3 linked regions of the Lonchura striata genome follow. The protein of the gene in region 1 binds, or shares a complex with, the protein of each later gene. Links are inferred from orthologs where the notes say so. Each region holds a gene or a part of one and is shown on either strand. Other genes may lie near its edges.

What was found.
Region 2: the proteins of ARF1 (region 1) and AP1B1 are in contact, whole or in part, in a cryo-EM structure (PDB 7R4H), measured with the Homo sapiens proteins. The link is inferred for Lonchura striata from reciprocal best matches to the Homo sapiens genes ARF1 and AP1B1. Residues at the interface, in NP_001019397.1 of Homo sapiens: Glu17, Met18, Tyr35, Ile46, Thr48, Ile49, Gly50, Phe51, Asn52, Val53, Glu54, Thr64, Trp66, Lys73, Leu77, Arg79, His80, Tyr81, Gln83, Asn84; in NP_001118.3 of Homo sapiens: Asn23, Asp25, Pro52, Asp53, Val55, Asn56, Met58, Gln59, Met83, Ile85, Met86, Ala87, Val88, Asn89, Thr90, Val92, Lys93, Tyr121.
Region 3: the proteins of ARF1 (region 1) and AP3B1 are in contact, whole or in part, in a cryo-EM structure (PDB 9C5B), measured with the Homo sapiens proteins. The link is inferred for Lonchura striata from reciprocal best matches to the Homo sapiens genes ARF1 and AP3B1. Residues at the interface, in NP_001019397.1 of Homo sapiens: Glu17, Arg19, Tyr35, Ile46, Pro47, Thr48, Ile49, Gly50, Phe51, Asn52, Val53, Glu54, Lys73, Ile74, Leu77, His80, Tyr81, Asn84; in NP_003655.3 of Homo sapiens: Glu52, Asn54, Pro81, Val84, Lys85, Val87, Ala88, Asp111, Leu112, Leu114, Leu115, Ile117, Ser118, Thr119, Gln121, Arg122.

The regions. Positions count from the first base shown.
Region 1 is NC_134603.1:154,872,812-154,880,616, reverse strand, and holds the start of ARF1 (ADP-ribosylation factor 1), read left to right. Parts: upstream 1-4,755; 5' UTR 4,756-4,888; intron 4,889-7,805. UniProt on the Homo sapiens protein: Small GTPase involved in protein trafficking between different compartments. Modulates vesicle budding and uncoating within the Golgi complex. In its GTP-bound form, triggers the recruitment of coatomer proteins to the Golgi membrane.
Region 2 is NC_134620.1:2,977,190-2,984,842, forward strand, and holds the start of AP1B1 (AP-1 complex subunit beta-1), read left to right. Parts: upstream 1-4,600; 5' UTR 4,601-4,662; intron 4,663-7,653. Other genes in the region: NEFH (neurofilament heavy polypeptide), read right to left, coding at 468-1,260. UniProt on the Homo sapiens protein: Subunit of clathrin-associated adaptor protein complex 1 that plays a role in protein sorting in the late-Golgi/trans-Golgi network (TGN) and/or endosomes.
Region 3 is NC_134642.1:12,762,886-12,770,339, forward strand, and holds the start of AP3B1 (AP-3 complex subunit beta-1), read left to right. Parts: upstream 1-4,388; 5' UTR 4,389-4,461; coding exon 4,462-4,634; intron 4,635-7,454. UniProt on the Homo sapiens protein: Subunit of non-clathrin- and clathrin-associated adaptor protein complex 3 (AP-3) that plays a role in protein sorting in the late-Golgi/trans-Golgi network (TGN) and/or endosomes.

The sequences.
Region 1 (7,805 bases):
CAGAATTACACACTAAAGCAGCACAGAATATGAAAAACATGAAAGCCAAAAGCTGAGGCATCACCCCACTGCTGCTGCAGCTTCCTCCCGAGGTGCCAGCAGTCAGCAGTGCTGAGGTTGAACATCTTCACTGCCAGGTTCCCCTGCACGCCACCGAGTCATGACGTGCAGCTGCTTCCAAGAGAAGGAGGGGAAAAAATGAGGCCAAGAGAGGTGAGGCAATTTCCCAACATCCCTGGGAGTCGGTGTTGGGAGCACGGAGCTGATCTGCTCCCTCTGCTCTCCAGCCCTCCGCGCCACAGCCAAGGGGCTCTCAAAGGTGCTCCAGCTGAGTGGATCCTTCTGCCACCTAAATCAGCTCTGAGAGGAGAAACCACAGCAAAATAACAGCTCTGGATCTGAATACTCTTGATTTTTCTGCCTCTCCATGCAGCTGTGTAGAGTTTTTTTGCTTTTCTCCTCTTTCCACCTTCCTTTTCCGTCCAGGATGGTGAAACACGAGCAGCAACATTAGAACTGTCGTCTTTTCAACAGCCCAAGCCCATCTGGAGGTGACCCCAGGACCAGAAATCCCAGGAATCATGGCTATTTTTGGTAGGCAACATAGCAAATTGCTGGAGGGGCGGAGGGTGTTGTAATTTCTCAGCTCCTGTTCGTAATTGCAATTCTCACCTTCAGGTGAGAGACTCAGAGGTGAGAAATCCTCAACCTGACAGCAGCCAGGAGCTCCAGGGCAGCAGAAAACAGAGCGGTGATGGGTCCCAGTGTCCTTCAGCCCCTTCCACTCTTTTGGGGTGGGTGTCCACCCCAAAATTAATTTTCCATCACCACCAGGAGGGATTTAATGGTTGGACATCGCTGCCGCCTGCTCAAGGGTCTCCACCACCTCATTATACCAAATGTTCTCATCAAGAATCTTCTCAATAAAGACAACTTGCCCACACTTGGGAGAAAAGATTATTTTGGGGGGCCCTGAAGCAAGAGCAAACCCAGCCTGTGGTGTTTTTCCCTCGGGGAAGGTGCAGAAGGAAAAGCAGGGCTTGGGAAGCGCTTTGAGACTCCAGGTGATATTTTTATAACCTCAGAAATCGCCTTGCACAAACACCTTTTTTTTTTTTTTTTTTTTTTTTTTTTTTTTTTTTTAATCCAAAAGGGCAGTGAGAACAGGGTGTATTTCAGCTGCAGATTTGTCATCAGAGGCTCCCAGCAGGGAGGAAAAGTCTCCAGCTCCAAAGGGGCCATCCAGGAAAAGCCAGGGAGTTTTCTGGAACCCCGGGAGCACCCAGAAAATGAGCTGAGCTGCCCTGAGAGATCCCTTCCTGTTTTGTCCTTGTCCCACATGAGTTTTTCTTAGGATGGAAGGAAGCAAAGGGGCATTTCTGCTCCCTCAGCTGAAAAAGAAACGGAGGCTTCTTTCTTCTCTCCACGAATGCTGTGAGTCACAGGGCAAAGGGTTCCAGCTGCATCACAGCAATGAATCAGAGGGACGAGACCTCGAGCTCAGCGTCCCCTCAGGTCTCCAGAGGATGAGAATAACGAAATCAGATCTCCCTGGTGATGTGTCATGGGTGATAATAATGAAATAACCTCCTCTGATTCGCCCTGCAGCTGGATTTTCACCCTGGTGGGGTGGTGGGGTTGAGCATCTTCTCCCCTGAGGCAGCTAAAACGAGGAGCTGCTCTGGGTTAAAAATAAAGCCAAAGAAAAAAAAGGAAAAGAAAAGGAGAGGAGGGTTATTTTTAACTCAGAGCAGCCCTGATCTGGTTCACTGCCCGGGCATGGAGACAGAGCTGTGAAACAAGGGCTGCTTGGCTCAGCTGGGGCCAGGAGGGGATTTGGGGATGGGGAGAAATTCAGGTTTTTTCTGCTGAAAAAGCACCTTCCTGTTGTCACAGACACACAGAAACACCCAGCTCAGCTCCTGCCCCAGGGCTCACCCAAAATATCCAGCAAGGACAGAGGCAGATTCTCCCCAGAAGCCTTGAGCAAGTGCAAAGTCTCTTTATTCTCTTTAAATCTCACTTGGTATTTTTGGTTCAACTCAGACTCTTTCAAACCAGGTCCTGGAGGCTGCTGTGTCCCAAACAGGTCACAAAGGCAGGGGACAGGGACATCTGTGATCCCAGTGGGAGCTGTCCATGCCTGGGCAGCAATCTGTCCCCTGGAGCATCCTCCTCTCCCTGAAACCCCCCATGTCAGCCAGCCCAGCTTCCACAGTGCAGGAAAACAGGATTAATTTGAATTTTCAGCGTGTCCTTGCCATCACTTTCTTAGCCCATCAGTGCTGCTGCTGCTGAGTGACCGTCTGGGGAGATTTAATGCAATTTAGGGGCTTTCTTAAGCAAAATAATAATATGAATTTAAACCTGCTCTGCATGGGGGTGGTGCCTCCCTGGAAGAAGCACAGGGATGATCTTCCCTCCTGCCCAGACTCCCTCCTGGCACTTCTCAGCCCTGTTGCTGCCATTTCTTTTGCGTGTGACCCAATTATTTTAGGAAAAGAAGCTTTTGGGCTCACGCCCATCTGCCTGTCTGCCTTCTCTGTGTAATGCTGGGTGATTCCAACAGAGGATGGAGGACTTTGAGGTACTTATCTCCTATGAGCATCGAGGGGAAATCTAGAAATAAGCAGTTTTGGTGGCTTCCTGCTCTGTTTCAAAACTTCTCGTTAACAAAGGAAGTATTTAGTATTTAGCCTGGGACAGCACACGACCTCGATTTATCTCAAAGTTAACCCAAAACAGAAAGGAGATAAGCCTGAATTTTTTTGTGCACAGTTGTTTCTACACCCACCTCTTGAGCTTTGGGACCATGTGCATTATTCTATTTCCACGTGGAGTTAAGATCCTGCTGTGCTGACCTGTTCCCTCTGTGCTGTGTAATAAACGAATTAATACTAGTTTAAATTAGGAAAATTATTTGCTGAGGTAAAAAAAATTTAAAGGAATTTTCCCTCTGTGGGGGAAACTGAGGTACAGAGAAGCTGGAGCTCAGAGAGGATCGTGGGCTGCTTTGGGAATGGGGAATGGTGCAGGAAAAAGGGAATGGTGCAGGGGAAAGGGAATGGTGCAGGGAAAAGGGAATAGTGCAGGGAAAGGGGAAATGGTGCAGGGAAAAGGGAATGGTGAAGGGAAAGGGGAATGATGCAGGGAAAAGGGAATGGTGCAGGGAAGAGGGAATGGTGAAGGGAAAGGGGAATGGTGCAGGGAAAAGGGGGAATGGTGCAGGGAAAAGGGGGAATGGTGCAGGGAAAAGGGAATGGTGCAGGGAAAGGGGGAATGGTGAAGGGAAAGGGGAAATGGTGCAGGGAAAAGGGGAATGGTGCAGGAAAAAGGGAAATGGTACAGGGAAAAGGGAATGGTGCAGGGAAAAGGGAATGATGTAGGGAAAGGGGGAATGGTGTAGGGAAAGGGGGAATGGTGCAAGAAAATGGGAAATGGTACAGGAAAAAGGGAACGGTGCAGAGAAAGGGGGAATGGTACAGGGAAAAGGGAATGGTGCAGGGAAAGGGGGAATAGTGCAGGGAAAGGGGGAATAGTGCAGGGAAAAGGGGTCCAGGAAAGAGGGGGAATGGTGCAGGGAAAAGGGAATGGTGCAGGGAAAAGGGGGAATGGTGCAGGGAAAAAGGCAATGGTGCAGGAAAAAGGGAATGGTGCAGGGAAAGGGGAATGGTGCAGGGAAAAGGGGAATGGTGCAGGGAAAAGGGGAATGGTGCAGGGAAAAGGGAATGGTGCAGGAAAATGGGGAATGGTGCAGGGAAAGGGGGAATGGTGCAGGGAAATGGAAATGATGTAGGGAAAGGGGGAATGGTGCAGGGAAAAGGGGTCCAGGAAAAAGGGGGAATGGTTCAGGGAAAATGGGGAATGGTGCAGGGAAAGGGGGAATGGTGCAGGAAAAAGGAAATGGTGAAGAGAAAGGGGGAATGATTAGAAGTGCAGGGAACAGGTAAGGAATGGTAAAGGGAAGCGGGAACAGAGCAGGGAAAGGGGGAACTATGAAGGGAAGGGGGAACAGTGCAGGGAAGAGGGAAGGAATGGTGTAGAGAAGGTGAAGGAACGCTGCAGGGAAAGGGGAACGGGGAACGGGAAAAGAACCGTGAAGGGAAGCGGGAACGGCGCGGGAGGAGAACGGCGCACGGAAAGGGGAGGGCACAGTGCAGGGAAAGGGGAGCTGAGCGGGAAGGGCAGGCTCGGTCCCCACGAGCCCCGTCCCACCCTGTTATCATCCCGTTATCCCGTCATCCCGTTATCCCATCACCCCGTTACCTCGTTATCCCGTTATCCCATCACCCCGTTATCCCGTTATCCCATCACCCCGTTATCCCATCACCCCGTTATCCCGTTATCCCATCACCCCGTTATCCCGTTATCCCGTTATCCCATCACCCCGTTATCCCATCACCCCGTTATCCCGGTATCCCGTTATCCCATCACCCCGTTATCCCGTTATCCCGTTATCCCATCACCCCGTTATCCCGTTATCCCATCCCATTCCCGGGGGATCCCGGCCCCGCGCTGCGGAGTGGGCGTGGCCAACCCAGGCCCCGCCCCCTCCTGATACCGTCACTCCCACCATGACCACGCCCACTCCCAGGCCACGCCCCCATCCCCACAGAGCCTCGCTCCCGCCGTGGCCACGCCCATTGCGCCTCTACGCCACGCCCCCTCGCGCCGGCCCTGCGGCGCCCCGCCGTGGCCACGCCCCCCCGGCGCAGGCCACGCCCCCCGCTCGCGCCCGGCCTGCCCGTGGCGCCGCGCGCGGGGCGGGCACTGACGTGGCCGCAGCGCGCCGCCATCTTGTGCTCCAGGGCGGATCGCGGCCAGCGGGCTCCGAGCGGGACCCTCCGAGCGCTGCCAGACCCACGGCCCGCGCCTCCCGACCGCGCCGGTGCGTTTGCCGACACCTTCTTCTTCCCTCCTTTCCAGCCTTTTCGTTTCCTTCCCCCCCCCGCCCCCTCTCCGGCTCGCCGCGCCGCGCCCCCGCCCCGCATCCCGCGGCCTTGGCGCTGAGGCAGCGGGGCCGGGCGGTGCTTTCCTGCTCGTTCCTTCCCATTGCTTTTAATTCCTTCTCTCACGCCACCTTATCCCTACTCATTCCTTTTCTCCCACAGACCCAGAGCTCCCCGGGAGCGGCGCTGCTCCACCCGTCCGCCCTTTCCACGTCTTTGTGGGGGGGTCGGGCCTTTGGCTTCCCCGCTCGTGGGTGGGATGGGGAGGGAGAGGCAGGGCTGGCCGAGGGGAATCGCCGCAGCTCGGCAGCAGCTGCACAAGGCCCCGCTCCGCTCCCTCTAGCGATGGCATTAGACGGGATGGGTTTGTCCTCCCTTCCCCAAACTCGCTCATTCCGGCCTCTGCCCCGCCCGCGGACGGCTCCGAGCAAGGAGAGGCATTTCCTCCTCCTCCTCCTCCTCTCCCCCCCAAAACCCTCGTGGGGTGCGGGAATGAGGTTGGGATGGAGCTCGCAGGGCAGAGGTTGTTTCTCCCTAAGCCCTTGGCTGCTGAGTTGGTGTTTTTTCTTGCTGGGCAGAGCTTTATCGTGGAGCAAACAATTCTTTTTTGCCGCCTATCGCCTTGGGTTTGGTGGTGTGGGAGATCAGCTTTCCTTGGCGGAGCAGCTCCCGGTGGGAGGATATTATATTCTGTCTGAAAATACTCCGTGGTGCGAGGCGAACGTGATACTTCGGGGCTGATAAAGCTCGGTGTGATGAAGTGATAGCCCGGCTCTGCCCCAGCACAGCGAGACCGAGACTCTGCCGGGCCATAAAACTGCCCCAAATGTTGTCGTGTTTGACATTGACCTTGTTTGTGGCTTTGCTGCTCTGCTCCTGCCAAAGCAAATTCCACAGGTTGATTAGAGTCGCGACTAGAGGTCTGGTGTTGAAATTGTAGCTTTGTCAATAACTAAAATTCCAAGTATTTATGTAATACTTTGAGCTTTGTCTTGCGAGGCTCGCAGCACCCCTTTGCAGGGTATTCCATTGACCTTATTTTCCAGGCAGAGAAACCGAGGCAAAGTGGATTTTTCCAAGGTCATTCAGCAGTCTTTATTGCTATTTTTGCTGCTGATTTGGAGCGCTTCTAGGGGGGAAAAAAAAGGGAAGTGTGGCTGAAGTGGAGGATTGCTATTTTGCTTTTATTCATGGGGTTTGTAATGGAATTAAATAGGAGCACAGCCTTATGGATAAAGGAGTTCTCCGAAAGGAAAGTTTTTGGGGGTGGTTTGATGCCACTGATTTTTCTCTGCTACAAACATATCCGCAGTGCTGGAGGCCCTGTTGGGCTGCTCTCCCTGTTGGAATAATTGCATTGGGTGAAAGGGTGAGGAAACTCACCTCGATTGAACCTCTGCAGCTCCAACCCCGCAGCTTTGCCAAGTTTGTTGGTGCTTCCTGTGATGGAGCATCAGGAATTGAAATGGCTCAAGCAGAGCCGCCCTCCCCTCAGAACGGCTTTGTGTTTGTCATGTAAATCCTGTTTAAAGTCGAACCCCTCGGTGTAAATGGTCCGAGGAGCTCGGATGGGTCTCTCGGAGCATTTCCTCGGTTGTGAAATAGCTGGAATGTGGAAGGGCCTGGCAGGAGCTGTGCACCGAGTTCCCTGTGAGTGTTAGTCATGCTGACCAAGTGGGGGGAGGACCAGGCGCAGCTTTTCGAGGCAAACCAAGCGTGTGTGGGAGTCGGGGCTGGATTCTGCTCCTGGGAATTCACCAAACTCTGCTGTGCTCCGGCTGCTTCGAGCAGGAACGTTTCTACAGATAATTATCAGCTAAGCAAGCCTTTGGTGACATGAATTGGTGCAAGGAGGAAAAGCTCAAAACCCAGGATTCCAGCTGAAATGGCAGTGGTGATGTTTAAAGAACCACCTTTACACATCCCAGAGGGTTTTATTTCTAAAACAACCTCTTATTTTTAAAGATGGGCTTTCAAGCAAGAATTCTTAGGGATTTCAACAGCCTTCGCAAACATCCAGCTTGCTTTACAGTGGATAAATTTGGTGAATATGAGCTAACTTTATCTGAAAAGGAATAGTTCTGATTCTGTTTTTAGAAATCTCTTGGAAGTTCTGCTCCTGGAATGCTACAGGGCTTGTGTTAGAGCCGACGCTGTCCTCAGCCATTCCCTTTCTTTAGCTGATGAGTAAAGAAGTTCAGAATCAGCTTCCTACTACAGCAGCTGTTTTTTCTGTGTAATTCAGCATTTTTTTCTTTCTGCTTGCGAGTATCCGATTTTATTCCTTATTTTTAACGCATGCAGACGTCGGAGGGGCTGTGGTGGAGCTTCTGCTGATGTTTCAGTTCTGATAAAACCCTCGTGTCTCACACAGCTCTTATTCGCCCACTGCTCCTCTATCTCACAACTCAGGGGTTCTGCCTTGACATTTCCCCTAAACCAAATGCCAGTTTCATTGCTGGATGGTGTTCTCGTGTGAGTTCTTGCCATTTCTACTAGAAGTGTAAATGTTGACTTAGTGCCCAGTTCCCAGGAATGAATAACAGGATATTTGGCTTAAAATTGAAGATTTTGAGCTCAGGAACAATTCAGCCTCAAAAACAAAAAACACCCCAAATGTACACCGCTTATCTGAAGATAAATTCTTTGTAGCCCTCAGTTCTCACACCACTGTACCCAGTGCTGAACTGGTGAGCAGAAAGCCACAGGCCATTCTTGGGGTTCACAACTGCATTATTTGCACCACAATATTTCCTGAGCAGGGAGGGCATGGATGCAGCTCCCTCTGTGCTTTTCACCTGTCAGCCTGTCCTTTTTTCATACCAGATACTTGTTTTTATTTTTCTTTTATTAATG
Region 2 (7,653 bases), on another chromosome or scaffold:
GCTCAGAGGGACCAGCACAGTACCCTGCAGAGTCAGAGGGCCCGGCACCCCAAAAACTTGCGGGGGGCCGGGCCAGTGATCCTGGAACCCTCCTCGAAACTCACTGCGGGGCAGAGGGGAGTCGGGCAGCGCAGGCACTGGGGCTCTGGTGGCAGGGATGGGGTCACCCTGAAGGGTGCTGGGGGTACGGGAGGTCCCCGCACACTGCTGGGGTTGGGGGACACTAACGCCCTCCCCGAGCACAGTATATGGGGCTGGGTATCCCAACACCCTCCAGGAGCACGGTAGAGGTGGGAGGGGTCCCTGCACCTCCCGGGGTCGGGCACTCTAACACGACACAGAGAGCGGGGGGGGGGTCCCCGCATCCCTCGGGCCTCCCTCGCTCCCTTTGCTCCACCCCCATCCCGGAGCGCGGCAGCCCGGGCTGCCCCGGGGAGGCTGTCCGGCGGCCGCAGCCCGGCACTCACCGCGGAACCACTCCTCGGCCTGCAGGGTGCTGCGGGCCGCCGTGCCCTCCAGCTGTGCGCGCAGGTCGCGGAGCGCGGCGGTGACGCCGGGGCGCAGCGAGGCGGGCGGCTCGGCGGGCAGCTCGGGGCGCGCCCCGCGCAGCAGCGCTCCCACCTCGGCGCGGTGCTGCCGCCGCAGCTGCTCCGCCTCCTCCCGCAGCGCCCGGGCTCGCTCCTCCAGCGGCGCCCGCGCCCGCTCCTCCTGCGCCGAGCGCTGCGCCAGCCCGCGGGCCGCCGCCTCCAGCTCCGAGCGCTGCCGAGCCTCGTCCTCCAGCCTCCCCCGCAGCGCCGCCACGTCCTCGGCCAGGCGCGCCCGCTCCAGCCGCAGCTGGCCCTTCTCGGCGCCCAGGCGCAGCACGGTGCCCCGCATGTCCCGCAGCTCCCGCGCGTACAGCTCGCCCATGGCCGAGCGCCCCGCCTGCTGCTGCCGCAGCGCCGCCGCCTCGGCCGCCAGCGCCCGGTTCTGCTGCTCCAGCGCCCGCACCCGCTCGATGTAGCCGGCGAAGCGGTCGTTCAGCACCTGCAGCAGCTCCTTCTCGTTGCGCGCCCGCGGTTCGCCGTTCAGCGAGTCCAGGCTCTCGGTGGAGGACGCGGCCGCGCTGCCGCCGCCGCCCCCCGCGCCCCGCGCCCGTCCCACCGCCGGGGCCGGCCACGAGTAGAAGCCGCTGGAGGCGGCGGAGCGCGGGGCAGCGCGGCCCGGCTCCTTGCGGAGCCCCCCCGGGGGGCCCAGCAGCGTCTCCAGCATCAGGCTCATGGCGACCCCCGCCCTCGCTGCGGCACCGGCGCGGCCGCCCGCTTTTATAGCGCTCGGGGCGGCCGCTCCGCCCCGCCACCGGCAGCGGGGGTGGGCACCGGCACCGGCACCGGCACCGCCCCGCGCCGCCGCCGCAGCCCCGCGGTGCGGGGGGACCCGGCTGCCACGCCCAGGTGGGGAGCGGGAGCCGCAGCAGAAAGGAGCGGATTGTCCCCCGGCGGGAGAACGGGGACACCGGGCACAGCGGGATCCCGGGAGCAGGAAACACCACCGGGAAGGGAGCGGAGAGTGCCCCCGGGCAGACAGCGTGACCCCCGGGAATAGAGAGTGGGAGCCCTGGGAAGGGAGGAGGGAGCTGCTCAAGAGAGAACACATCCCCCGGGCAGGGAGCAGGAGCACTGGGAATAAAGAATGGGAGCCCCGGGAAAGGAGCAGGGACACCCCAGGACAGAGTGAAGACCTCGTGGGAAGAGGAGTGCCCTGAAGAGAGAAGGGACCCTCCGAGCAGAGAGCGGGATAAGAGGAATGGAGGGTGGGACCCTGGAGGACAGGGCCAGGACCCCCTGGAGAGGGAGTGGGGACCTCCTGGTGTGACCGTGAACCCCCCGGGCAGAGAGAGGAACACCTGGGAATAGAGTGGGGTCCCCACGAATAGAGAACGGCACCCTGGGGAGGGAGCTGGGACCACCCAGTACAGAGCAGGAACCCACCCCGGTGTGAAGGGGAAAGGGGGGACCCCCGGGTGGCGCAGACAGCTCCTCCACGGGTGGGGCAGCGACCCTGGGGTGTGGCCGTCACTTGGTGTCCCCCCGGGGTCAGGCACTGACTGGGGCTGGGGGAGGTGGGCTCCTGCTGGCTGGGGGGGCTGCCGGGAGGGTCCCCTGAGGGGACAGGGGACACCCTGCGGGATGCAGGGAGGGATGGGAGGCTCATGGCTGCCATCCCGGCCGGGATGGGGATGGGGAAGGGGATGGAGACAGGGATGGGGTGGGGGGGATGTGACCCCCAAAACCTGCCCTTGGGACCGGGCCATGCACGGGCCACCCAACCAATCAGCACTCGGGTATCATTCAACCAATCAGCACTCGGGTACCACCCAGCCAATCAGCACTCGGGTGCCATCCAGCCAATCAGCACTTGGGTACCATCCAGCCAATCAGCACTCGGGTATCATTCAACCAATCAGCACTTGGGTACCATCCAGCCAATCAGCACTCACAGACACCTCGGCCAGTCAGCCCATATGGGCCAGTGGCCAATCAGCAGTCACAGGCCACCCAGCCAATCAGCATAGCTGCTGCCCAGCCAATCAGCACACACAGACATCAAGATGTAGGCAGGTACTGACAGCTCAGCCAATCAGCAGCCAGGCTTAGAGAGCCAGCCAATCAACACATAAGTCCCTAGATCCTAGCCAATCAGCAACCAGGTCCATAGACATCACCCCAGCCAATCAGCAGGCAGGAGCACAGATCCCAGTGAATCAGCACACGGGTCCTTAGATCCCAGCCAATCAGCACACAGGAGCACAGATTCCCAGCCAATCAGCATGCAAGTCCATATATCCCAGCCAATCAGCATGCAGGAGCACAGATCCCAGCCAATCAGCACACGGGTCCATAGATCCCAGCCAATCAGCCTGCAGGAGCACAGATCCCAGTGAATCAGCACAGGGGTCCCTAGATCCCAGCCAATCAGCACACGGGTCCATAGATCCCAGCCAATCAGCATGCAGGAGCACAGATCCCAGCCAATCAGCACACGCTCCCTGGCTCCCGGAGCAGCCCTGCTGTCCCGGGTGGGAGCAGGTCCCACGCCGTCCCTCATCCCACGGAAGCCATGGAGGCAGGGCCGGGAGCAGCCAGGAGGAGCGGGCTCGGCCGGGCCGCTGGGGACACATCCCCGGGAGGCGCTGGGGACACGGGACAGCCGGCCCTGGGCGCCCCCGAGCCCGCCCTGCTCCCGCGGGCACTGCCGCTGGCCGGCCACGGGGACTGCCCCAGAGGGCCCTTCCTGCCCTGGGGACACCCGGCGGAGCAGGGGGACACAGCCTGTGGAGGGTGTCACCCTGTCCCCCACACCCCGTGTGACCCCGTTCCAAGCCCTGTATCCAAGCCCTTTTCCCCGTGTCCATCCCAATCCCTGTCCCCCGTATGTCTCTGCTCCATCCCGTGTTCCCACCCCATGTCTCCATCCTGTCTCTAACCCTGTCCCTATCCTGTGTCCCCATCCATGTCCTCATCCCATGACCCCATCCTCTGTCCCAATTCCTGTCCCCATCCCATGTCCCTGTCCCATATCCTCATGCCATGTCCCTGTCCCTTATCCCCATCCCATGTCTCCATCCCCTATCCCCCATTCCCATCCCATGTACCCGTCCCATGTCCTCATCCCATATCCCTATCCCTACTGCCTGTCCCTGTTCCCTGTCCCCCTCCCCTATTCCCTTTCCCCGTCCCTACTCCCTGTTCCCCTCCCCTGTCCCCATCCCTGTCCCCGTTCCCTGTTCCCCATCCCTGTTCCTGTTCCCCGTCCCCATTCCCTGTTCCCGATTGCTGTCCCCATCCCTGTTCCCCATCCCTGTCCCTGTCCCCATCCCTGTCCCATTCCCTGTCCCCATCCCTGTTCCCCATCCCTGTCCCTGTCCCTGTCCCCATCCCTGTCCCATTCCCTGTCCCATTCCCTTTTCCCATCCCTGTTCCGTTCCCTGTCCCCATTCCCTGATCCCGATTGCTGTCCCCATCCCGGTTCCCATTCCCTGTCCCCATCCCTGTCCCCGTCCCTGTCCCCGTCCTGTCCCCATCCCTGTCCCCATTCCCTGTCCCCATCCCTGTCCCCGTTCCCTGTCCCCATTCCCTGTTCCCATCCCTGTCCCCATCCCTGTCCCCATCCCTGTCCCCATTCCCTCTTCCCATCCCTGTCCCCATCCCTGTCCCCATCCCTGTCCCCATCCCTGTCCCCGTTCCGTGTCCCCATTCTCTGTCCCATCCCGGTTCCCATTCCCTGTTCCCATCTCTGTTCCCATTCCCTGTTCCCATCCCGGTTCCCATTCCCCGTCCCCATCCCTGTCCCCATTCCCTGTCCCCATCCCTGTTCCCCATCCCTGTCCCCATCCCTGTTCCCATCCCGGTTCCCATTCCCTGTCCCCATTCCCTGTCCCATCCCTGTCCCCATCCCTGTCCCATCCCTGTCCCCATCCCTGTTCCCATCCCGGTTCCCATTCCCCGTCCCCATCCCTGTCCCATCCCTGTCCCCATCCCTGTCCCATCCCTGTCCCCATCCCGGTTCCCATCCCGGTTCCCATTCCCGCCCCGCCCTCCCGCCGTGGCCCCGCCCCGCCCCGGAAGCGCTCCCCGCTCCTCAGTTCCGGCGGCGGCGGCGGGTACGGAGCGGCCGGAGCAGGTACGGACCGCGCCGGGCCGGGCAGAGCGGGTACGGGCCGGGTACGGGCCGGGCCGGGCCGGGCAGAGCGGGTACGGGCCGGGGCAGAGCCGGGCCCCGCAGCCGCTCCTGCCCCGGGCTCCTCCCCGGAGCTCTGCCCGTGCGGCCCCGGGACGGGCTCCCCGCGGGGCCCGGGCCCCTCCCGACCCCCGACCTGAGCTGTGCCCCCCGGTGCCCCTCCGGGACCGGCGGTGTCCCGCTGTGACCCCGCTGTGAGCCCCGGCTCGGCCTCCGCCTCGCCCCGGGCCGTGTCTGCGTCCTGACCCCGCGTCCTGAACTCTGTCCGCAATGTCCCCTCCCCACTCCGGGCTGTGTCCCCATGGTCCCCTCCCCAGTCTGGGCTGTGTCCCCTTGGTCCCCTCCCCACTCCGGGCTGTGTCCCCTTGGTCCCCTCCCCAGCCCGGGCTGTGTCCCCTTGGTCCCCTCCCCAGTCTGGGCTGTGTCCCCATGGTCCCCTCCCCACTCCGGGCTGTGTCCCCATGGTCCCCTCATCACTCCAGGCTGTGTCCCCATGGTCCCCTCCCCAGTCTGGGCTGTGTCCCCATGGTCCCCTCCCCAGTCTGGGCTGTGTCCCCTTGGTCCCTGGTCCCCTCCCCAGTCTGGGCTGTGTCCCCATGGTCCCCTCCCCAGTCTGGGCTGTGTCCCCTTGGTCCCTGGCCCGGCTGGGGCACACGGGGGTCCCCCGTGCCCGCTGCCTGCCCCGGGCTGTGTCCCGTGTCCCGCCTGTCCCCGCAGCAGCTCCATGTCCCAGCGCTGCTCTCCGGCCCGTCCTGCACGGACCACCCCGGGCACCATGTCCTGGCCACTTGCTGGGGACAGGACCCCTGAACGGGCTGGGGGACACGGGGTGAGCCCTTCACCCCCTCAGGATGTGGCACACCTGTAGAGAAAGGTCTTGGCTCTGCCTGGAATATGCTGGGAACTGGGCGTGGAGCAGACGGGGAGGCAGCTGGGCTGATATCCTGTGCTCGCTGCCTCCTCCATGGAGATTTTGGGGGGAAAAGCCCCAAAGTGGATTAAAAGGAGCTGTGAGACAGCTCCAGCCTGAAGGAGCCGTGTTGGAGGTGTTGCTGTTGTTGTTGCAGGTGTTTTGTGTGGAGTTTTGGCACCTGTCAGGGGTCCCTTCCCCAGCAACACTGGGACTCAGGAGGGGTTTTGTGTCTTCTCTCTCCTGGGGTGACAGAAAATGGGCTAAGCCTTGGATGAGCAGTTGGACTGATGTGGTTTGTGGCTCCCACACCCATTTGTGGGGTCAGACTGCCAGGCTGAACAGGCTTTGGCACCCCAAGGGGCTTTCCAGAGGTGTTGGGCCTTGCTTGGATCAAGCCAGGCTGGGAATTCCAAGGCAGGAGGTGCCCACCCTGCAGAACCTTCCTTTCCCAGGAGGAGAACATCCCCTCCGCCACGGGAACCTGATGCTGTGGCCAGGACAAAGTCCTTGGTGTCCCTGAGGATGCTCAGCTGGAGTTTGGGGAGCCCCTGTGGGTGCCATCCCTGTTCAAGGTGATTAAAAACGCCCCCAGCTCTCAGAGCACGGTGCTTTGGGCTCTGTGGCTGTGGGATCCTGGCAGTGTGTGCTGCAGGGGACACCTCAGCATTGTCCTTTTTGCTTTTTCCTTGAGTTTATTCCCCAGTTATTAGTTGATGGGATGTATTGCTTGCTGGTGCCACTGCTTTGGATCTGCCAAGGATTTTTTGGGTTTGCTTTGGGCACCATGCTGATGGCATGGTGAGTTTGGCTCCTACCCCTGAGTTATCTGAGTTATCCCTTGCTTGGTGGGGATGGAGCCTTTTGGAATGCCCATGGGTTGGTCAGAAACAAGATTGGTGAGAGGATGGGGATGGTCCTGCTGGGATGCAGCAGAGTCACAGCCCTGAGCTGCTGCAAGGCCGAGCTGGAGCAAAGACTGGCTCCAGTTAGGCCAGAGAGGGGGAAAAGATCTCACTGGGAAGGTGTGTGGGGCTGCTGGGAGGGTTTGTGGTGGTCTGGCAGAGGTGGGATGAGCCCAGGGCTGGGAGCTGTGGGATATGGGATGAGCACACAGGGATGGGAGCTGTGGGATATGGGATGAGCACACAGGGATGGGAGCTGTGGGATTTGCACAGGGGTGGGAGCTGTGGGATTTGCAGAGGGATGGGAGCTGTGGGATGTGCACAGGGGTGGGAGCTGTGGGATGTGGGATTTGCACAGGGGTGGGAGCTGTGGGATTTGCACAGGGATGGGAGCTGTGGGATTTGCACAGGGGTGGGAGCTGTGGGATTTGCACAGGGATAGGATGTTTCCCATCCTACAGGCACAGGAGGTGTGGCTGTAGGATGGGAAGCACTGCTGTAAGGAGGGACAGAACTGGGGTCAGCAGGAGGCTCTGGAGCTGTTGGGTTGTGTATCCTCAGCCTCTGGCTCTCTTCTGGCACCCTGGGGTGTTTCTCTCCCTTGCTGGTGCTTGTGCCAGCTCCTGGGGTCTGTCCATGGGGCAGGGATGTGCTCAGAGCTGTGTTGGTGTGCTTGTTTTATTTTTATTTTTCATTCATGATCGCGATGGGACTGCTGGGGTACATTTAATGAGTTTTATTTGTAGTATTAGCTTTATTATGTGGTTGAGACAATAGGAAGATGGTAAAGCTTATATACAGCTAGTAGCAGCTGATGATTTCTTTGTTGCTGAATATTTAAAAAACTTCTGGCTAATAGCATATTGCTAAAGTTTATAGATAATTATTCTAGCTAATTACTGAAAGTACACGTATACTTGTTTCACACAGTGTTTGCTTGTCTTCTTTCTATTGATAACACACAGTACATTATTATTAAGTCTAAAACCTTTTACTATCTTGCTAAGCATATTTTCTTGTAGTCTGAAGGTTTATCTTAGCCAAACTTAAGACTTAGGTTATTGTTTCATGCCCTTGCTTTCTGTACTATTATAACTTCTCTCCTTTCAGACTTTGTAA
Region 3 (7,454 bases), on another chromosome or scaffold:
CCCAATTCTCTGTGCAGAAGACTTTTCCAAACCTATTGGAGCTAAAAACTTGATTTCAACAGCTGCCAGAGGTGTTCTTGGAGTCTTAAATTGATCTAGTTTTGTCTTGGCATATTCTGTTCAACCAGTCATGGAGAGATTGTACATAGATTGCCATTTGTGAAATTCTTGGAGGAGACTCCAGCTCTAATTTTCAAACTTGATGCATCCACTAGCTCATTGGCACAACTACTTTCTTTCTCCATCTGTTAAAATGGCCCTATGCCCACCAATATGGTTATATGCCAGTTTTGGTAGGGTATACAGCCCAGCAAAGATGAATGGTTTGGATGAACTGATGAGTGTACAAGATAAAATCTGAACCCTCTGGTCAGTACAAGGATAGGAACTAAATGCAGTGTACAAATGGAGGCGTACTATTGCAGAATACTTCTCCAGCTGAAAACTCTCAGATCTGATGGGAAGTACCACACAGTGAATATTTTCTTATTGCTATGCACTTGGCAAATATGAGGATGCAAGCAATGAACTGTTGATTTGCTGTAGCTCTCTGTAATGTTGTTACTATATTTTTGTGGCTTTTTTATTTGCTCAGAAAGGCAAGTTTTACAGTTTTGAGGCCGTCAGTGTGGTTTCTGCCTATTTACTGCATTGTCATATATTTGCCGTAGTCATTTGCTTTGATCTGCATCCTGAATGGTATTAAATAGCCATATCTACAGCTGTTACAAGGCTGAAATTCCACATGTTTTTAGTTCTGCATTTTTTGAAGGCTGTTCTTGTTTCTGCCATCCCCTGATATTTTGGTACTTGGAGGAAACAAGAACGGTTCTCGCAATCTGCCAGAAGATGAGCAGCATTGTAATGCTGTTAAACAGTGTTGCTGAAACTTGGACATATATGTAAATATTCAAGCACTGAGTAGGTTCTGACAACACAACTTCTGTGATGGTATCTTTCAAAGAAGCCTTTTCTCAACATTTTTGGGAAAGCTGGTGTGATGCTGCTTCTCACCTTCTTATAATCCCTTCACAACTATCAAAGTGGTCTACAAATGTCTGCAAATTCTGAGCACTAGCCTCGAGAAAGGCTCTAAGTTGGCACAACCATTTAAGTGGCGGCACCACTTCTGATGACCCTCTTTCAGCCTTCAGAAAATTGTCTTCCACTGAGGAAGATTCCACTCTGGCAGAAGTTTCCCTTCTGTATTGGTGGTGTTGGTACTATCAGAAATGGTTATATGCAGTGCAATTGCAAGACTGAATATTTTCATCCTGTCAGACAACATTTCTTGTTGCTGGGTGAAGTAGAATCTTTAACTACTTTACTGACAACAGATAATCTTAGCTCGAATCACAGTCTGATCCAGAAGGGATTTCAAACTACTTTGTCCTACTAGCTGCCATCTGGTTAGAGCTTTTGAAATATAGGTAATTTCAATATCTGCATTGATGATGGTGATAGCAGCAATTTAACAGGTGTTGATGTGCTGAGTTGCTCAAGTGTTGCTCAGGTAGTATCTGTTCATGACAGAGAAATGGGAGATGCTTTATTTAGTTTTTAACTTTACACTTTCCTGTTTCCTCAATGAGAGGGAAAGAGTGCAACTGAACATCCGGACTGCAAGTGCTTTGAGAAATTAGAGGCAAAGTAACAATCAAATGAGTTAAATTCTACTTCTGGTCACTATTTCTGGTTTTGTTCTCTGTGGCTCTCATCCTTACAGGATACTACAGTTATCCTGGTTTTCCTCACATCTCTAGTCTATTCTTTAATACTATTTAGTTTGCTTTTTGCATAATGTGCTTCATTTTCAGATTGAAAAATTAGAGATGGCTGAAAAAGAAATAAATTCTTATCTCAATTTCTCTTTAAACCATAGAACAGCTACACTTACAGCCATATGATTCAAGGCTTCCTTGAAGTAGTAGTTGAATTCTGTGTTGTGAATTAGAAATAAATATAGTGTTATATTGAAAAAGGATGGTAGTACTGAACAGCACCACAAGATGTCATTCAAACAGTTTATGGCATAGACCAAAACGCAGTGAAACTCAGATTTCTTAATTTCCTGCTAGACGAAAACCCTAAATCAACAAAATTAACTCAAATTGCAGCATGTATTTGCTGCCAGTTAAGCGTCTGTGTTTTATGGGTCTGAAATCAATTTGCAGTTCCTCTTTAAATGTTAAATTCAAACTTGTTTAGCGTTTACACAGTAGCATGACCTAGAATAAACCAATTTATTTTAAGCAATTTGCAGTGCCAGTAAAATGCAATGAAAAAAACCAAATTTTTTTCAGGAAACATGGGACGTTCCCTAGGAGTTTGTTGCTACTCAGGTGCCAGAAGCAAAGGTTACACTGCTTTGTAAATGTGTGTTTTCTGCTTTAAACTCATGCACAATATTTTAAATTTTATCTTGAAAGCCAAAAAAAAAAAAAAAAAATATGCTGTGGTTAAAAGTATTTCTTCTTGAATGCAAGAACAGTGCAATTGATACTGTGTAACTGAAATTAGGCAGTGGATGGAAAACTTGAAACAAGAAATGCATTGTTAAAACTCAAATGAGTGAGACTTCTGAAACTTCTGTTCTATAAGGGCTTTATTCCATAACACTGAAACTGATGAAGGTTGCTTCCTCCCAGTGGTGAATTTGTTTACCATTCCTGTACCTTACCTTACAGTGCTGTCCTTATATGTGAAGATCTTCTGTTTAGAATTCACTCTCCTTTCCTTGAGAGGATTACAGCTGTTCCCGAGGTTATTGTTGCATTGCTAGTTGAGCTTCAGTTGCAGTTTTGATACTCATTAATCTTTGGCTTAATTACAGTGAAGACTTATGATTAGTGGGTGACTTCTTCCAGTAACTGGCATGTTAGAACTGTGGCAAAACTTGAAAATCTGTGGATTTAATCTTACAGTGTTGCTAAAACTGAGAAAATAAATGTGTATTTTAGCAGAGTGGAGCAAATGTTTTCTTAATAATAGTTGTTTAGAACATGTTGATGCAGTACCTAATGACGTGCCACAGATTCTGGATTAATATTTTAGTATAACTGGAAGTTTGTCATAGTTCCTATGGAGAGATGAAATAACTGAGACAGAGGTCCAGATTTATTGCATAGCTGTTTAAACTTCAGTGATCTATAGTTAGTCTTAACCTCAGCAAGACGTGAGTTTTAGTGACTAAGTGTGTGCTGACAGTAGTATGGCATATTCAGAATTTTTCTTTGGATGCTGTTTGCCTTAATCAGCATGCAGAGTTAGGTGAAGAGTCCGTGTTTCTAATTTATACTATTTTAGCTTTCAAATTGTAATACTTAGGAATACAAGCCTGTGGTGCTAAAGATTACAAAGGCAGCTGGGAACTGATTTTTTAATACATTAATAATTGACTTGTTGACTATATCCTTATGGTAGATACCATAAAAGTACTAAAGATCATATTTCATAGCACATGCTTAATATGTCGTATGAGTATATTTCTAATTGTTGTCTATCACAGTGCTTTCATCTTGCAACTTTTGAGAATGGTGGGCCTATCTTGAAGTAGAGTTAAGACACTAGATTATGGCTTGGGAACTCAAGTGAAGTTTTGGTGAGTTCTTAGACTACATCATTGGGCAGACAGGTGGGAATCTTCTTGTTTTTCTGGGTTTTTTTTTTGCTCTTGGAGAGTCACTTTACCTCTTCTTACTTTTAGGGAAAATGGCTGAGACTATATATCTATACTCTGCCAAAAGTTTGGTATTTTTTCATCTGCTGTTGTTGGGACCATTACTTTTCTGCTTCATATAGTTCCACATAATTTGTCAACTATCAGATTAGGCTTATTTAAACCTGGTGTTGCTCCTGAAGTAATAAAGTTTATATTTCAGTCATCTACAATATGTACCTAACTCTGTAAGGGTAGAGTCTCTCAAAATTTTACCAGAGAGGCAAAGGTATTGATGCAGCTGAAGGTTGCTTGCATTTTTCTGAGCCCCTGGCAAGTGGAAGGAAGTGATAAAGTATTTGCCTAGCATTGTGTATTGAAGAACTGCCACCTCAGCATAACTAATGAATATAGAAATATGAACTCTAGTGTGACTGCAAAGCTTACATTTACATTTATTTCTACTTAGAGGGATTTTATTAAAATATTGAAATTTCTTAAAAAGTAATGATCAAAAGATGAAAATACTTGTACTGTACAGTAAACTGTATTACAAAAGACTGAAATGCATTTGCTTTTCCCATTGTTCATGGAGGCTCTGATAAGAGTTGTTTTTGGAAGGAAATGACCTTTGAAATCTGCATATGGTATTTGTTTCTGGAAGTTCAAACAGCAAGGGAGTGTGCATCCTGTTACTTTGTAAGATTTTCTTTTTTTTTAGAGTAGACCTCACTCTTGGCAGGCAACCTTGGTTGAGTTCAGTAATTTTTTTAATTGGTTTTTTACATACTTCACTTAAAAGAATGGAACAAAACTCCACAATGCTGGGCAAAATAATTGAGGTGTCTTGCAGTATTAAGTCTGCTCTTAAAGGGAAAAACTTTGATGTTACACTGAAACCATATCTAACTGTAGAAGAAAAAAGGCTTGCTGCTGCTGGTGATCCATGTGAATGTATGAAGCAATATTTTACTTTGTAAGTATCTAATATTTGCTAATGATGGATTATAATTTGCTAGAAAAGATTTTTTAAAACCTAAACAAATAATCTCTTCAAGTAAGATTTGATTTCCAAGTGGATTCATCAGGAACTTTTTGTTTAATTCGTATTTTTCTTTCTTTATTTTTTCCCCTGCTGCTTTGCTTTTATGGAAACAAGGCTGGCTGAAAACAGGTCTTCATATATAAATTTCTGTGTTTTTTGTCTTTCCAGCTAACAGTTCAAAATGTTTTCATTTGAAATGTATGATAGAATATTTTCTATAAGCATTTAGAAGTAGAGCTCATCAATAAACACTTCTGTCTTCACATCTTAAAATAGCCTTTTTATTTTTTGTTGTTGTTTATTACATTCTGGGAGACGGTTTTCAGCATGTACTTGGATCTTGTTCTGTGTAACTTCCTCCATTTTTTGTTACTTGATCCTCAAGCCCAAATTCTAATTTCTACATTTTCCGCTTTGTTGACAAATTCTTCTTTTTTTGTTTGTTTGGCTGCTAATTAGTATTCTACCTTCCACTAGTTAATGAAACTCTCGCTTCTCATGATAACTGGTCCACATGCTCAGCCTTTCTCTTATCCTCGGTCAGTGATTTTTTAAGTCGGTGGGCTGTGGACACAGTCTCCCCCTGCCTTTTACCCAATTGGACTTGATTCCACATTGTTGCTGAGTTGTTTTTATTAGTTTCCTCTTTGTCTTGATGGTCCTGCAAAACGTCCTTGTGGCCCATCAAATTTGCATTCTTGGTCTACCCTCAGGGGTACATCCTTCTTCAGAAGCTTTGCTAACCTCACCTGGGGTCTGACATAGTTGAAATATGTCAAGCCCTAAACCTTAACAAGGCAGTTCTACAGGCAAGTCATTTGTTTTTCTAACACACAGAGTTCACTGCGAACTTGTTGGTTAGCTGCTATCCATTTCATAGATTGAATCTCATTTGTTGTTGATCAGGCTTGAAAGTATACAAAGTTGAAACATCAAAGAACATTCTTTCTTAAGAAAATTTTTACGTATTTCACATTTTGCAGCAACAGTAGGAAACTGGAAGCAAGAGCATCGGTCTAAAAGCAACTTTCTAAATCAAGTCCTATCTTTTGCTATGTAACTTTTCTTACCATGTCATACAGATTCTTGCACAGGGAAGAATTATGACTTAAGCAGAAGGGATTAGAGGTTTCTAGTTTCTGTATCCAGCTAGAGCAAAGTGTCAGGCAAAGTACTACAAGCTGATCAAAAAGAACTGAGACTTACTCAGTATCCTATGAGGAATAGGTGAGTAGGAATGGTCAGCAAAATCAGCTGTTCCTGTGGCCAAGAGTGATGGGAATAGAGAGCTGCCAAAAATTAAATCAAACCTATGCTTCCTAAAATGTTAATTTAAAATGGAACTATACAGAGGGATTGAAAGTTAAAATGCTGAAATTATTAATGTTATTTTATGTACAGCCCCCAGACCAACAAATACTTTATTTCTGATATAAAAAATAAGGATATAGATCTGAGGGCAAAATATGGAGTGACTAAAACATGTGTGATGATATAGACATGAATACAAGCATCTTCAAGTCAAATCAGAAAAATGTAGAGTTTAATGTAATGAAAGGTGTGACTTTACCCAGGAACAGGAATGTGGACAATAGGAAAACATGTGTGAAATTACAGCATTAGTTACTTTTAACAGACCTGTCAATCTTGGGTGGTGTTACAAGAAGGTACACTGTACATTATGACTGGCCATGAGGAAGGTATCCAGCTGGAGACTTACTGAACTGATCTTAGCAGTATGCAAAACTGCAGGACGAAACTGAATGGGACATACAATTTAAATGATCAAAGTACACAACCAAACAAATGTAGCAATAGAAGACTGACCTTATACATCTTTGAATGTGTCCAGGAGTAGCTAAAGATAGTAAAAACCTTTGAGTGTGGTGCAGACACAAGTGGGAGTTACCAGTGATATTTGAGAAGTGGTACTAAAGCAGGCAAGGAAATGGAATACTTCCTTTTTTCTTCCTTTTTCCTTTTTTTAAAATAATAATTATTAAGTGAAGCAAATATTGACAGTATAAAGAATCTGTAATAGGTTGCTCCGATTGTTTCATGAAATGCTTGATTTTGAAAAAAGAGTTAGACTTAAATTTTAAGTTGCATGTAGATATGAATTTTATGTGCCTTAGGTTAGTAGGAAATGTGGTGATTGCTATGTTGGGTTTTTTTACATTTAGTTGCAGTTCTTATGTGGATGTAGACTGAAATGTGGGCAATGTGGATTTCTTGTGGGGAGGCACAAAGCAGATGCAGTACTGGTTCTGAAAACATGAGGAAATTTTTGTTAGAGTCACTCTGTTGCAAGTAGGAAAAATACTATTTACAAGTTTATGACTGAATGAATGACGGTATTTTTTTCTTGTAACTGATTCCAGCTTTGGCTTACATCCTTTTCTTCTTCCCATATGAAATTATGAGGGCAGTGATAAATCAGAATATATCCAGGTTCTGCATTCACTTTTGAAGTCTTGTCTGGATATATTTGGTCTGGCTGAGATGGAATTATTTTCCCTCACAGCAGTCTTCATCATGCTGTGCTTTGAATTGGTAGTGAGAAAGATGTTGCTAACAGTGTTGTAGCTATTGCTGAGCAGGGCTCACACAGGAGTCAAGACTGTCTCTCCAATATCCCCCTTTCCTAGCAGCCTGGGGTTGGGCAAAACCTTGAAGGATGTGTAGCCAGGACTTGTGGCCCAGGGGGATATTCCCGGACCAAGGGGATATTCCATACCATATGATGACTGA